Callithrix jacchus: one gene and its partners. The protein of the gene in region 1 interacts with the protein of each later gene in a biochemical or structural test. Links are inferred from orthologs where the notes say so. Each region holds a gene or a part of one and is shown in the gene's direction. Other genes may lie near its edges.

Region 1 (3,752 bases):
CAAGGGGAATGGTGAGGAAAGGATGCAACTGTTACCCCAATATCAACCACAATGTTAGGATATCCAACAACAGCCTTAGTACCTAGTATACATCTCTATCCCTGAAATGAGGTAAAACATTTCTGCATCTGTTTTAACCATAGTCTGCATATATTTGGGAGAATGATTCCATTTAGTGCCTCTTTTATTTTAGGGCTTCACTTCAAGGCCTGTAGACCTTGTTGTATGGTGCCAGGAATGTAGTGAAGCCAGTTGTGGTCACTTTGTTCACACCCTTCATTTAAACTGCAGATTTAGACAGGGCGCAGTGGCTCATGCCTGTAATCCCAGCACTTTGGGAGGCTGAGGTGGGTGGGTTGCCTGAGGACAGGAGTTCAAGACCAGCCTGGCTAACATGCTGAAACCTCATCTATACAAAAAATACAAAAATTAGCCGGGTATGGTGGTACAAACACCTGTAATCCCAGCTATTTGGGAGGTTGAGGCAGGAGAATCGCTTGAACCTGAGTGACGGAGGTTGCAGTGAGATGAAATCGCACCACTTCACTCCAGCCCAGGTGACAGAGCGAGACTCCATCTCAAAAAAAAAAAAAGATTGGTGGGGCATGGTGGCTCTCGCCTGTTATCCAAGCACTTTGGAGGCCAAGGTGGGCAGATCACCTGAGGTCGGGAGTTCAAGACCAGCCTGACCAACATGGTAAAACCCCATCTTTTTTTTTTTTTTTTTTTGAGGCGGAGTTTCGCTCTTGTTACCCAGGCTGGAGTGCAATGGCGCGATCTCAGCTCACCGCAACCTCCGCCTCCTGGGTTCAGGCAATTCTTCTGCCTCAGCCTCCTGAGTAGCTGGGATTACAGGCACGTGCCACCATGCCCAGCTAATTTTTTGTATTTTTAGTAGAGATGGGGTTTCACCATGTTGACCAGGATGGTCTTGATCTCTTGACCTCGTGATCCACCCGCCTCAGCCTCCCAAAGTGCTAGGATTACAGGCATGAGCCACTGCACCCGGCCCTAAAACCCCATCTTTATTAAAAAAAAAAAAAGATTTAGATCACATCCCCTTTCAACCTCTGGCTTTTCAGACTGAAGGATCCTTGAGGCCTGGCCTTATGTAGAAGCTCCCATCTCCTTTAATACAACAGCGCAGTGCAGTAGGCCGAGGCTTCAAATCAGCAATGTTTTATGGTCCTTTATCTGTGTTGTAACCAAGAGCTTAAAGACCCTTAGCCTATACATATGTAATGTGCATTTATCCCCCAAAGCATTACCTTACAATTGCCCATATTCCTCTCTCAATTCATCAAAAAATATTTGTTAAGCACCTAGTGTGTACCTAGCACCATGCTAGGTGCTGTGGGGAACACAGAAGAAATGGAAGACAGAGTCTCTGCCCGCTGTGCTCCTATCTAGAAGTGGCTGCATCACAAGGTTGGGGGATGACCGCAGTGTCTACCCCACACCCCGTGAGTGGCTTGGGATCCCTTTGCTACATGTCAGTGGCACCCCAGACATTCACCCCCTCCCAGCCCCACCCAGCCTTGGGGATCTGCAAAGTCATGGTTGGGGGAAGGAAGGAGGGGGCAAGGAGACAGATGAAGGGACTTCTTTGTCTCAGGTTCTGTGTGACCGACCCCATGAAAGGCCCTAGGGAGGGAGTCATGGGGCCCTGCTGACCTTTCACTGCCTGTGGGAACTCCTTTGTATAGAGGACAGTTTTGACTGACGTCAATGTGGGTCTTGGTATTTCCTCTTTCCCCATTTTCAGGTGACTCGCCGGGCCCTATTCCCTGGAGATTCTGAGATTGACCAGCTCTTCCGGATCTTTCGGACTCTGGGGACCCCAGATGAGGTGGTGTGGCCAGGAGTTACTTCTATGCCTGATTACAAACCAAGTTTCCCCAAGTGGGCCCGACAAGATTTTAGTAAAGTTGTACCTCCCCTGGATGAAGATGGACGGAGCCTGTTATCGGTGAGAGTGGGCACCTGCTTCCCCTCATTCATTTCTTCCAGGGAAGGGATTTTACAGGATAAAGGAAGGATGAGACCCTGAACTCTGGGCCTCAGTATTTCATTTCCCTGATTCCTTCTTTCCCTGTTGGCATGCTGATTCAGATACAGGAGGATGGAAGTGAGAATTCTGCCTTGGGTAGAAGGAGTTCTGGTTTCCTGATTTCTGGGAACACTTGCTGCCCATTTAGTCCACTATCACATCATTGAAATCAACATACATCTCTCCCCTCTCCCTCTAGCAAATGCTGCACTATGACCCCAACAAGCGGATTTCGGCAAAGGCAGCCCTGGCTCACCCTTTCTTCCAGGATGTGACCAAGCCAGTACCCCATCTTCGACTCTGATGGCCTTCTCAAAGCCCCCAGCCCTAATTTCACCCTCTCCTCCAGTGTGGGCTTGACCTGGCTCTTTGGACTCAGGTGGGCCCTCTGATCTTGCCTTAAACACTCACCTTCCAGTCTTAGCCAGCCAACTCTGGGAATACAGGGGTGAAAGAGAGGAACTAGTAAAAATGAAAGGAAGTTTCAGTATTAGATGCACTTACGTTAGCCTCCACTATCCTTTCTCCCTTCTCCTAATTATTGCTAAAGAGGGTTGGTTTTTTTTTTAAAAAAAAGCCTCCCTACACATTAGATTTGCCATACCAATCTTTGAATGCCCCATAATTATTATTTCCAGTGTTTGGGATGACCAGGATCCCCAGCTTCCTGCTGCCACAATTTTTGTAAAGGCCAAACAATAGCAGGGGCCTAAGTTGGAGCTTTTGAGAACCAAGTAAAACAAAACCACAGAGAGGAGTCTATTTTAAAGAATTCCTTTGAAAAAATAGATCCAATCAGTTTATACCCTAGTTAGTGTTTTGCCTCACCTAATAGGCTGGGAGACTCAAGACTCAGCCCTGATAGGGCTGCAGAAGAAATAATTGGCCCCAGACCCCATGTTTGTCCCTTCTACCGGCATGAGGAGTCTGGGAGGCCCTAGGACAGGGATTGTGCTTCATTCCAATCTATTTCACCACGGCCTTATGAGGCAGGTGAGAGATGTTTGAATTTTTCTCTTCCTTTTAGTATTCTTAGTTCTTCCATTGCCAGGGATTCCTGATCCCATTTTCCTCTGAAGTCCACCTTCTACCCCATAGGAGTGGAAGTTAGGGTTTAGGCATCATTTTGAGCATGCCGACACTTTTACAGGGCTGTGATTGAGTGAGGGCATTGGATAAAAATATTTCTTTAAAAGAAGGATGAACAATTATATTTATACTTCAGGTTTTATCCAATAGTAGAGTTGGCTTTTTTTTTTTTTTTTTGGTCAGAGTGGGTGCATTTGTTGCCATGTGCACCTTGAAGTTTTGTAATGACAGTGCTAAAAAAAAGCAGTTTTTCTTTTATGATTTTGTCTCTGTCACCCTTGTCCTTGCGTGCTCCTGCTATTAACGTTACTTGTAATTTAGTTTGTAGTTCATTAAAAAAATGTACCTAGTTTTATAGTTCATCTCTTTCCTCATCTTATTTACTAAAAGAATGGGGGGAGACAATATGACTATGTATATGTGATCATTTATTCCAGACCCCTTTTCCTAATCTCTCTGTGGGTATCTACCCACCCTGCCCCATTTTGGCTAGTGCTGGTGATAAACAAAGCAGTTATTATTGTCCCTATTTATGGATGGGGAAACTGAAACCTATATACTTCCTACTTCACTTTCTCCACACACCAACAAACCTCTTTTCCTCCAGCCAACA
Region 2 (3,652 bases), on another chromosome or scaffold:
GCCGGATTTTACAAACAGTTTCAGATGCTGGGCAGCTTAAAACAAGACAGCTGTCTGCTGCTTAACTAGTTAACTGGTGTTCTCATGTCGCCTAGTAAATGGCAGAGCTGGAATGTGCTGCTGCTCGCTATTCTGGTGCTCGTATTCATTCTACACTCTGTTGTTGAGTTTGCCTTGCATGCTGACGTCTCTCAGTTTCTGAATACACCATGCGTTTTCATCCCTTGTAAATTGTCTCATGCCTCTTCTTTCACCTGTGTCACTTTTTACCCTGTTCTCTGATTGTGAAATTCTCCTTTTTCTAGGCCTGTATTGGAAACCTCTCCTGTGAAGCCTTCCTTGATTTCTCAGGCAAAATTAACAGCTCTCCTCTGTACATTTCTTCAGTACTGAGTTCTTACCTTTTCTATGGCACCATGGTTATATTGTGATGGCAATTTCAGGCACTTTGCTTTACTTGACTGGGAGCCCCTTGTGGACAGGCAGCTCTGTCTTATTTGTAATTGTACCCTAAACCCTGTGTAGTGGAATGTTGTTGCCTTCCACAGGCCATTTGAAGACCTGTAGATGTCAGGCGTCAAGGGAGTCTTGAAGGGAATACACTGAGGTTAGCTTTTCACTTTCAGGGGTCATGTTGAGTAATCTTCGAAGCCTTTTCATGTAGGCCTGTTCACAATTTTTGAAATCATTTGAGTGACATCTAAGTTTTTGTGGCTGTCATCATTAAGTACCTTTATTCCTTAATGTCTTTCTGAAAATGGATTTAAAAGTCAAATGTGAAAGTCAAACAATAGAGTGAGATGTTATTAAGAGAGATTCCATTTCTAGAAAGCTAGAAAAAAGTAAGATCTCTAATTATGCTTTACCTTTAAGCTATAGTCTCCAGCAGTTTATTGCCAGCACTTGGTACATGTTCTTTAAATTGTATCTTCTATTTCAGTCAAACACTGAGTTAAGCAGCTTGATGTTGTTATGAACATTCTAGGGGGGTTGGAGTTTTAGGCTGCCTCTTATCCATACTTCTCCTTTTCTGTGCCTGCTCCTTTTTATAAATTAATTAGCACCAAACACAATAAAATACTAAATTTCACAGGCATACATGGCAATCATGCTGAGCCTAAACTCATGGCTGACAGGCAGCACTATTATGCTTGACTTAGTCATTCATCAGTGGGTATATGAAAGTCTTTAATTCTGTGGATGAATTTTTTTTTCCCCCTGAGTCTCGCTCTGTCACCCAGGCTGGAGTGCAGTGGTGTACTCTCGGCTCACTGCAACCTCTGCCTCCTGGGTTCAAGGGATTCTCCTGCCTCATCCTCCAGAGTAGCTGGGATTACAGGTGCCTGCCACCACGCTCAGCTAATTTTTGTTTTTTTAATAGAGATGGGGTTTCACCATGTTGGTCAGGCTGGTCTCAAACTCCTGACCTCAGCTGATCCACCTGCCTTGGCCTCCCAAAGTGCTGGGATTACAGGCATGAGCCGCTGCGCCTGGCCGAAATTTTTTCAGTATGTTCGTAGAATGGTCAGTTTATGATGACCAGAGCATGAATAATTCAAAAGTTGAATGAATAAACACTGAAGTCCTCTGATATTTCAGTAATTTTTGACAAACAATTTTAGTCTTTGTAGTTGTTTTACTAACGTCCTATGTCATAACCAATTGAGGCCTTGAAATAAGTGACATATCGAGAATCTCCTCAGAGCCATCTTTGTTAAATTTCTCCAGTCCTCAGTGCATTCCTTTGAATTTCTGGGTACTTTGTCTGTACCTCTTTTAAGGTGTGTATTACCTCCAAATATTGTTTAGAGCCAGTTGCTACTTGTCTCCCATGTTAGTAAGTTCTTTGAGTACAGAGACCATGTCTTTTTTATCTTGGTTATTTATTTTTTTTTTGAGATGGAGTTTCTCTCTTTTTGCACAGGCTGGAGTGCAATGGAATGATCTCAGATCCCTGCAACCTCCGCCTCCCGGGTTCAAGTGTTTCTCCTGTGTTAGCCTCCCAAGTAGCTGGGGTTACAGGCATGTACCACCATATCTGGTTGGCCAGGCTGGTCTTGAACTCCTGACCTCAGATGATCTGTCCACCTCAGCCTCCCAAAGTGCTGGGATTACAGGTGTGAGTCACTGTGCCTGGCCTATCTTTGTGTCTCATAGTGCCTAGTACTTTGCAAAGAGTAGATGCTCCTTAAGCCTTTTAGATGTTGATTAACAGAATACAAGATTAATAGTTCTTTTATAACCCACTGGATTATTTCTGGCTGGTCATTTCTAATGGAAAGGTGATAAATTAGTTAACCGCTGATCTCCCTTGTTTAGTGTCTCCACAGGGTATCAGTTGAATTGGGAATTTTCCTCTTTTTGGAGAAAAAAATAATAGTGGCTTTAATTGTTTTAACAGGAACATTCTGGAGAGTCATGTATATTTGGATCTGTATGTTTGGCCGTGAGCTTTGTGAATTATTTACATTATAAAAATCACTGTATAATATTAAAATTGAATGTTATTGTTGGCTAGAAACTTTTCCTTTGTGTTTGAGGGAAGATGGCTGACAATTTTGTAATATCTCTTGTAAATTTTTTTTTCAGCTGTGTCAGATTCAGGGAGTTTCGTAGCTTCTCGAGCCCGGCGAGAAAAAAAATCAAAGAAGAGGTGCCAAGAAGCTCTAGAAAAACTGAAAAAGGCTAAAGCTGGTGAGAAGTGTAAATATGAAGTAAGTAACCATTTTTCCTCTTTATTCCTCCTGTGCTTCATCTAATTCATTGTCTGCAGGTAGTCTTATGTCACCTTTGCCCCGGATTAGAAATACTCATATATTTTAAACTTGTAATAGGAACTTATTAGTATTGAACAAGCATGGGTATGAGGTAGAATTCCTATAAGATATTTTACAGATAATTTTAAAATTCCAAAATGGAAGTACATAGCCATATCTGTATTTTTCCTTATTGAGCAATCTGTATCTATGGTAAGTCCCATAGGTTTGTTGGGGTCATTTAGAGGTGCATTTTCTTACTCCTAAGATATTGAGCAGTCTAGCTAAGCACTACTTGGAGAGAACTGTTCTTCCTTATCTCATTTGCAAGGGTAGTGGCAGTGGAAACTTGGACCTTAACTCCTGCCGTGTCCTGCTTGTAAGATTGAATGTGATGCTCTTTTGATTTTCGTCTACCCACTGTTTATGGCTTGCAGGTAAAAAACAGAGTGACCACCATCTGCATAATACTGTATAGCATCACCTTTAGGGCGCCCTGAGTATCTTAACTGCCTTATGGCTAGAAAGTGATTAACCAATATTAGAAAATAACCATAATTGATACACTTTTTGAACTAACATATTATTCTAAGTGCATTTACCATGTGTTTATTCACTGTTTTTGGAGACGGAGTCTTGCTCTGTCGCCCAGGCTGGAGGGCAGTGGTGCGATCTCTGCTCACTGCAACCTCTGCCTCCCGGGTTCAAGCAATTCTCCTGCCTCATACTCCTGAGTAGCTGGGACTACAGGCATGCGCCACCACGTCTGGCTGATTTTTTTTTTTTTTTTGTATTTTTAGTAGACACACGGTTTTGCTGTGTTGCCCAGGCTGGTTTTGAACTCCTGAGCTCAGGCAGTCCACCTGCCTCGCCTCCCAAATTGCTAGGATTACAGG
Region 3 (3,652 bases), on another chromosome or scaffold:
CCCACAGCACCTGGCAAGACTAATTCTTTTCTTCTTTTCAGGAATGTTATAGTTGTGACCTTTCTTTCTTTCTTTTTTTTTGTTCTCCCTCCACCTTCCAAGTAGTTGTGAATTCTCTAGAACCAAAATGGACCATTATAGATTATCTTTTAAACCCTTTATTAAAGCACAGGATAATGTTGTGACTGACTTTATACTTTCTAAGAGATTTGATATAGTAGAGAAATGCAGTAGTTATAAATCTAAATTTGCTTTTACATTATAAATAACGAATATTGTGAAACCATCTCCCAGAGATAAGTGTAATACACAAACGTTGGCTGGTTTTTTTTGACAATACATCTGTGCTATTAGTACATATAAATGGATTTTTAAGATAGTCTATGTATAAATGTGAAAAATGAAGAACTTCCAGTTTTTCTTATTTTCCTTTAGACCAGTAATGGATACAGTGAAACTAAAGGACATCTTCCATCCTTGCTCTCTTTTATAGGAGTAGTAAAGTTGTATCACTTCTTGAATAAAAAAGAATTGTGAGGATGATCTTTTAGAAGCAATGCCTTAAAAATTATTATTGTTTAATGATAATATGTTAGTAATCTACAATAGTTTCATTTGGTTATAAGAATAAATTTCATGCATTCATGTATGTATTTTGATTAGGTATAAAATTAGTGGCTGAATGTCCATTCAAGCTTAATTTTGTATTTCTATAATTTTCTAGATTTTGAGCAAGATTAAAAATACAAACAACAATATTATGTCCATTCCGATGGCTATATAACAAATTACCTTAAAACTTAGGAGCAGAAAACAATTTGTTTTGCTCACAGGTTCTGTGAGTCAGAAATTCAGGCCAGGGACAATATTGATATCAGGTTTCTGCATCAAAATGACTGGTACCTCACCTGGAAGACTTGAGCAACTAGGAACTGGCACAGCTGGAGCTCATTGGGCATCTCTGTATGTCTGTTCCATGGTGGTCTCTCCAGCATGGTGATACCGGGTAACTGAATTCTTGGATGTTTTTTTAGGACTCCCAAGGCATATGTCCTAAGAGAAAGAACCAAGTGGAATCTATATTGCCTTGTATAATCTTTAGAATTACATAGTATCACTTCTACCTCTGCTGTTGATAGAGACAGTTAATCAGTGTGCAGACCCCTGCCCACCTCCATGGTGAGGGAACCTTCCCTGCCTCTCAGTAAAATAATGTCAATGTCACATTATAAGAAGAACATGTGGGGCCAGGCACAGTGGCTCATGTCTGTAATCCCAGCACTTTGGGAGGCCGAGGTGGATGGATCACTTGAGGCCAGGAGTTTAAGACCAGCCTAGCAAACATGGTGAAACTCCGTTTCTACAAAAATTAGCTGGGCCTGGTGGCACATAGTCCCAGCTACCTTGGAGGCTGAGGCAGGAGAATCACTTGAACCTGGGAGGGGGAGGTTGCAGTGAGCCAAGATCACACCACTGTGCTCCAGCCTGGGTGACAGAGCGAGACTCCATCTCAAAAAAAAAAAAGAAGAGCGTATGAGATAGGGTTCTTATTGAAAATAAATTTCCCACAAAAATATAAACACTTTCTTTTATTTTTTCACCCTGCACCACCATATAAACATTTAAACATACTTTAAAAAAATATTGAAATAGATATATAGCTTATTAATTAAAAATGGATTTTCTTTTCTTTTACAGGGAAATGATCTTCATTGGTTAGCATGTGCCTTATATGTGGCTTGCAGAAAATCTGTTCCAACTGTGAGCAAAGGGACAGTGGAAGGAAACTATGTATCTTTAACTAGAATCCTGAAATGTTCAGAGCAGAGGTAACTATGTTAGAGTTTGAGAAGTAGAGTATGGCTTATATGAGCTTATAAATCTTAGTGATAGTAACAATTCTGTTTATCATTTTCTGAGCATTTGTACCTGTGGACGGGTGAAATTAGATGCTAAAATTAGCATCCAATGATTTTCCTTTATTTGTATCAAAGTTGGTATCCATTATATTTTATTTCTTTGGTGAAAATATTTAAATTTTAATGTATTAGACACTTGTATTGAAGAGTTTATTATTTTATTTTTATTTATTTATTTTTTTGAGATGGGGTCTTGCTCTGTAACCCAGGCTGGAGTGCAATGGCGTGATCTTGGTTCACTGTGGCCTCTGCCTTCTGGGTTCAGGTGATTCTCCTGCCTTAGCCTCCTGAGTAACTGGGATTACAGGCATGTGCCACCATGCCCGGCTAATTTTTGTATTTTTTTGTAGAAACGGGGTTTTTGCCATGTTGACCAGGCTGGTCTTGAACTCTTGACCTTGTGATCTGCCCACTCCTGCCTCCTAAAGTGCAGGGATTACAGGTGTGAGCCACTGTGCCCGGCATTGGAAGAGTTTATTTTTAAAGGTTATAACATTGTGTAATATTGAGAGAAATGAAGGATATTGAGAAACTGTAGGAGATACTATAAGTTGAAAAGGTAAATAAAATATTAATTATTTGGTATTGTACTTAGAAATATGTGTACAGGACTTGTGGTCTTAATATAAATGGAACGTGTAAGTATTTCTCGGTTTCCTGTTTGGAAGAAAAATGACATGATTATAATCCATTTTAGAAAGAGTCAAATATGTTTAAAAGAAGAGGCAGAAATTGCTTTATCTGTTGTATAATTAAATTGATTACATTCTTTTTTTTGTGCCTTTTAGGTGAATTGTCTTATATAGCTTATTAAAGATAAGTGGAAAAATGATGTCTAATATTTGGGGGGAAATTATCACTGTCAAAATTTATGGATCTAATAGTTAAAAAAATCATGACTAAATAAAAAAATTGACCAGGTGTGTTTGTGCATACCTGCAGGACAAGCTACTTGGGAGGCTGAGATGGGAGGATCACTTGAGCCCAGAATGTTGAAGCAAGACCTTGTCCCCTACCCCCTGCCAAAAAAAAAAAAAAGCTTACTATTAAAGTAATTAACAGGCCAGGTGTGGTGACACACACCCGTAATCTCAGCACTTCGGGAGGTCAAGACTGGTGGATCACTTGAGGTCAGAAGTTCGAGACCAGCCTGGCCAATATGGCAAAAACCCATCTCAACTAAAAATACAAAAATTAGCTGGGTATGGTGGCGTGTGCCTGTAATCCCAGCTACTCGGGAGCCTGAGGCAAGAAGATCACTTGAGCCCCGGAAGCGGAGATTGGAGATTGCAGTGAGCCGAGATTATGCCATTGCACTCCAGCCTGGGTGAGAAGAGCGAGACTCCATCTCAAATGAAATAATTTACAGTGTCATGCTCTAGCTGTAATTTTTTTTTAACCGTTAGCTCCATCCTGAGTTACATTGACCAGACAATCAGTATGCAGAATTATATTAAGAACTACTAACAGGGTTAATAAAATGAATAAAGAATATGACTTCACAAAGGTTATAACTCACATAGCTAATAGATACAGGAAAAGATAATCTCACTAAGAAAGATTTTCAAAGTAAAAGGATAACATTTTATTCTATTTATTTATTTATTTATTTTGAGATGGAGTCTTGCTCTTTTGCCCAGGCTAGAGCACAGGGGTGTGATCTTGGCTCATTGCAACCTCCATCTCCTGAGTTCAAGTGATTCTCCCACCTTGGCCTCCCACGTAGCTGGGAT

Evidence for each region.
Region 2: of the proteins of CDK2 (region 1) and POLA1, one has a biochemical effect on the other in vitro, tested with the Homo sapiens proteins (2 studies listed by BioGRID). The link is inferred for Callithrix jacchus from reciprocal best matches to the Homo sapiens genes CDK2 and POLA1.
Region 3: the proteins of CDK2 (region 1) and RBL2 form a complex in vitro, tested with the Homo sapiens proteins (3 studies listed by BioGRID, with this or other methods). The link is inferred for Callithrix jacchus from reciprocal best matches to the Homo sapiens genes CDK2 and RBL2.

What each region holds. Positions count from the first base shown.
Region 1 is NC_133510.1:63,704,704-63,708,455, reverse strand, and holds the end of CDK2 (cyclin-dependent kinase 2), read left to right. Parts: intron 1-1,765; coding exon 1,766-1,969; intron 1,970-2,249; coding exon 2,250-2,354; 3' UTR 2,355-3,501; downstream 3,502-3,752. UniProt on the Homo sapiens protein: Serine/threonine-protein kinase involved in the control of the cell cycle; essential for meiosis, but dispensable for mitosis. Phosphorylates CABLES1, CTNNB1, CDK2AP2, ERCC6, NBN, USP37, p53/TP53, NPM1, CDK7, RB1, BRCA2, MYC, NPAT, EZH2.
Region 2 is NC_133524.1:25,427,404-25,431,055, forward strand, and holds part of POLA1 (DNA polymerase alpha catalytic subunit), read left to right. Parts: intron 1-2,589; coding exon 2,590-2,714; intron 2,715-3,652. UniProt on the Homo sapiens protein: Catalytic subunit of the DNA polymerase alpha complex (also known as the alpha DNA polymerase-primase complex) which plays an essential role in the initiation of DNA synthesis.
Region 3 is NC_133521.1:11,359,184-11,362,835, forward strand, and holds part of RBL2 (retinoblastoma-like protein 2), read left to right. Parts: intron 1-1,698; coding exon 1,699-1,829; intron 1,830-3,652. UniProt on the Homo sapiens protein: Key regulator of entry into cell division. Directly involved in heterochromatin formation by maintaining overall chromatin structure and, in particular, that of constitutive heterochromatin by stabilizing histone methylation.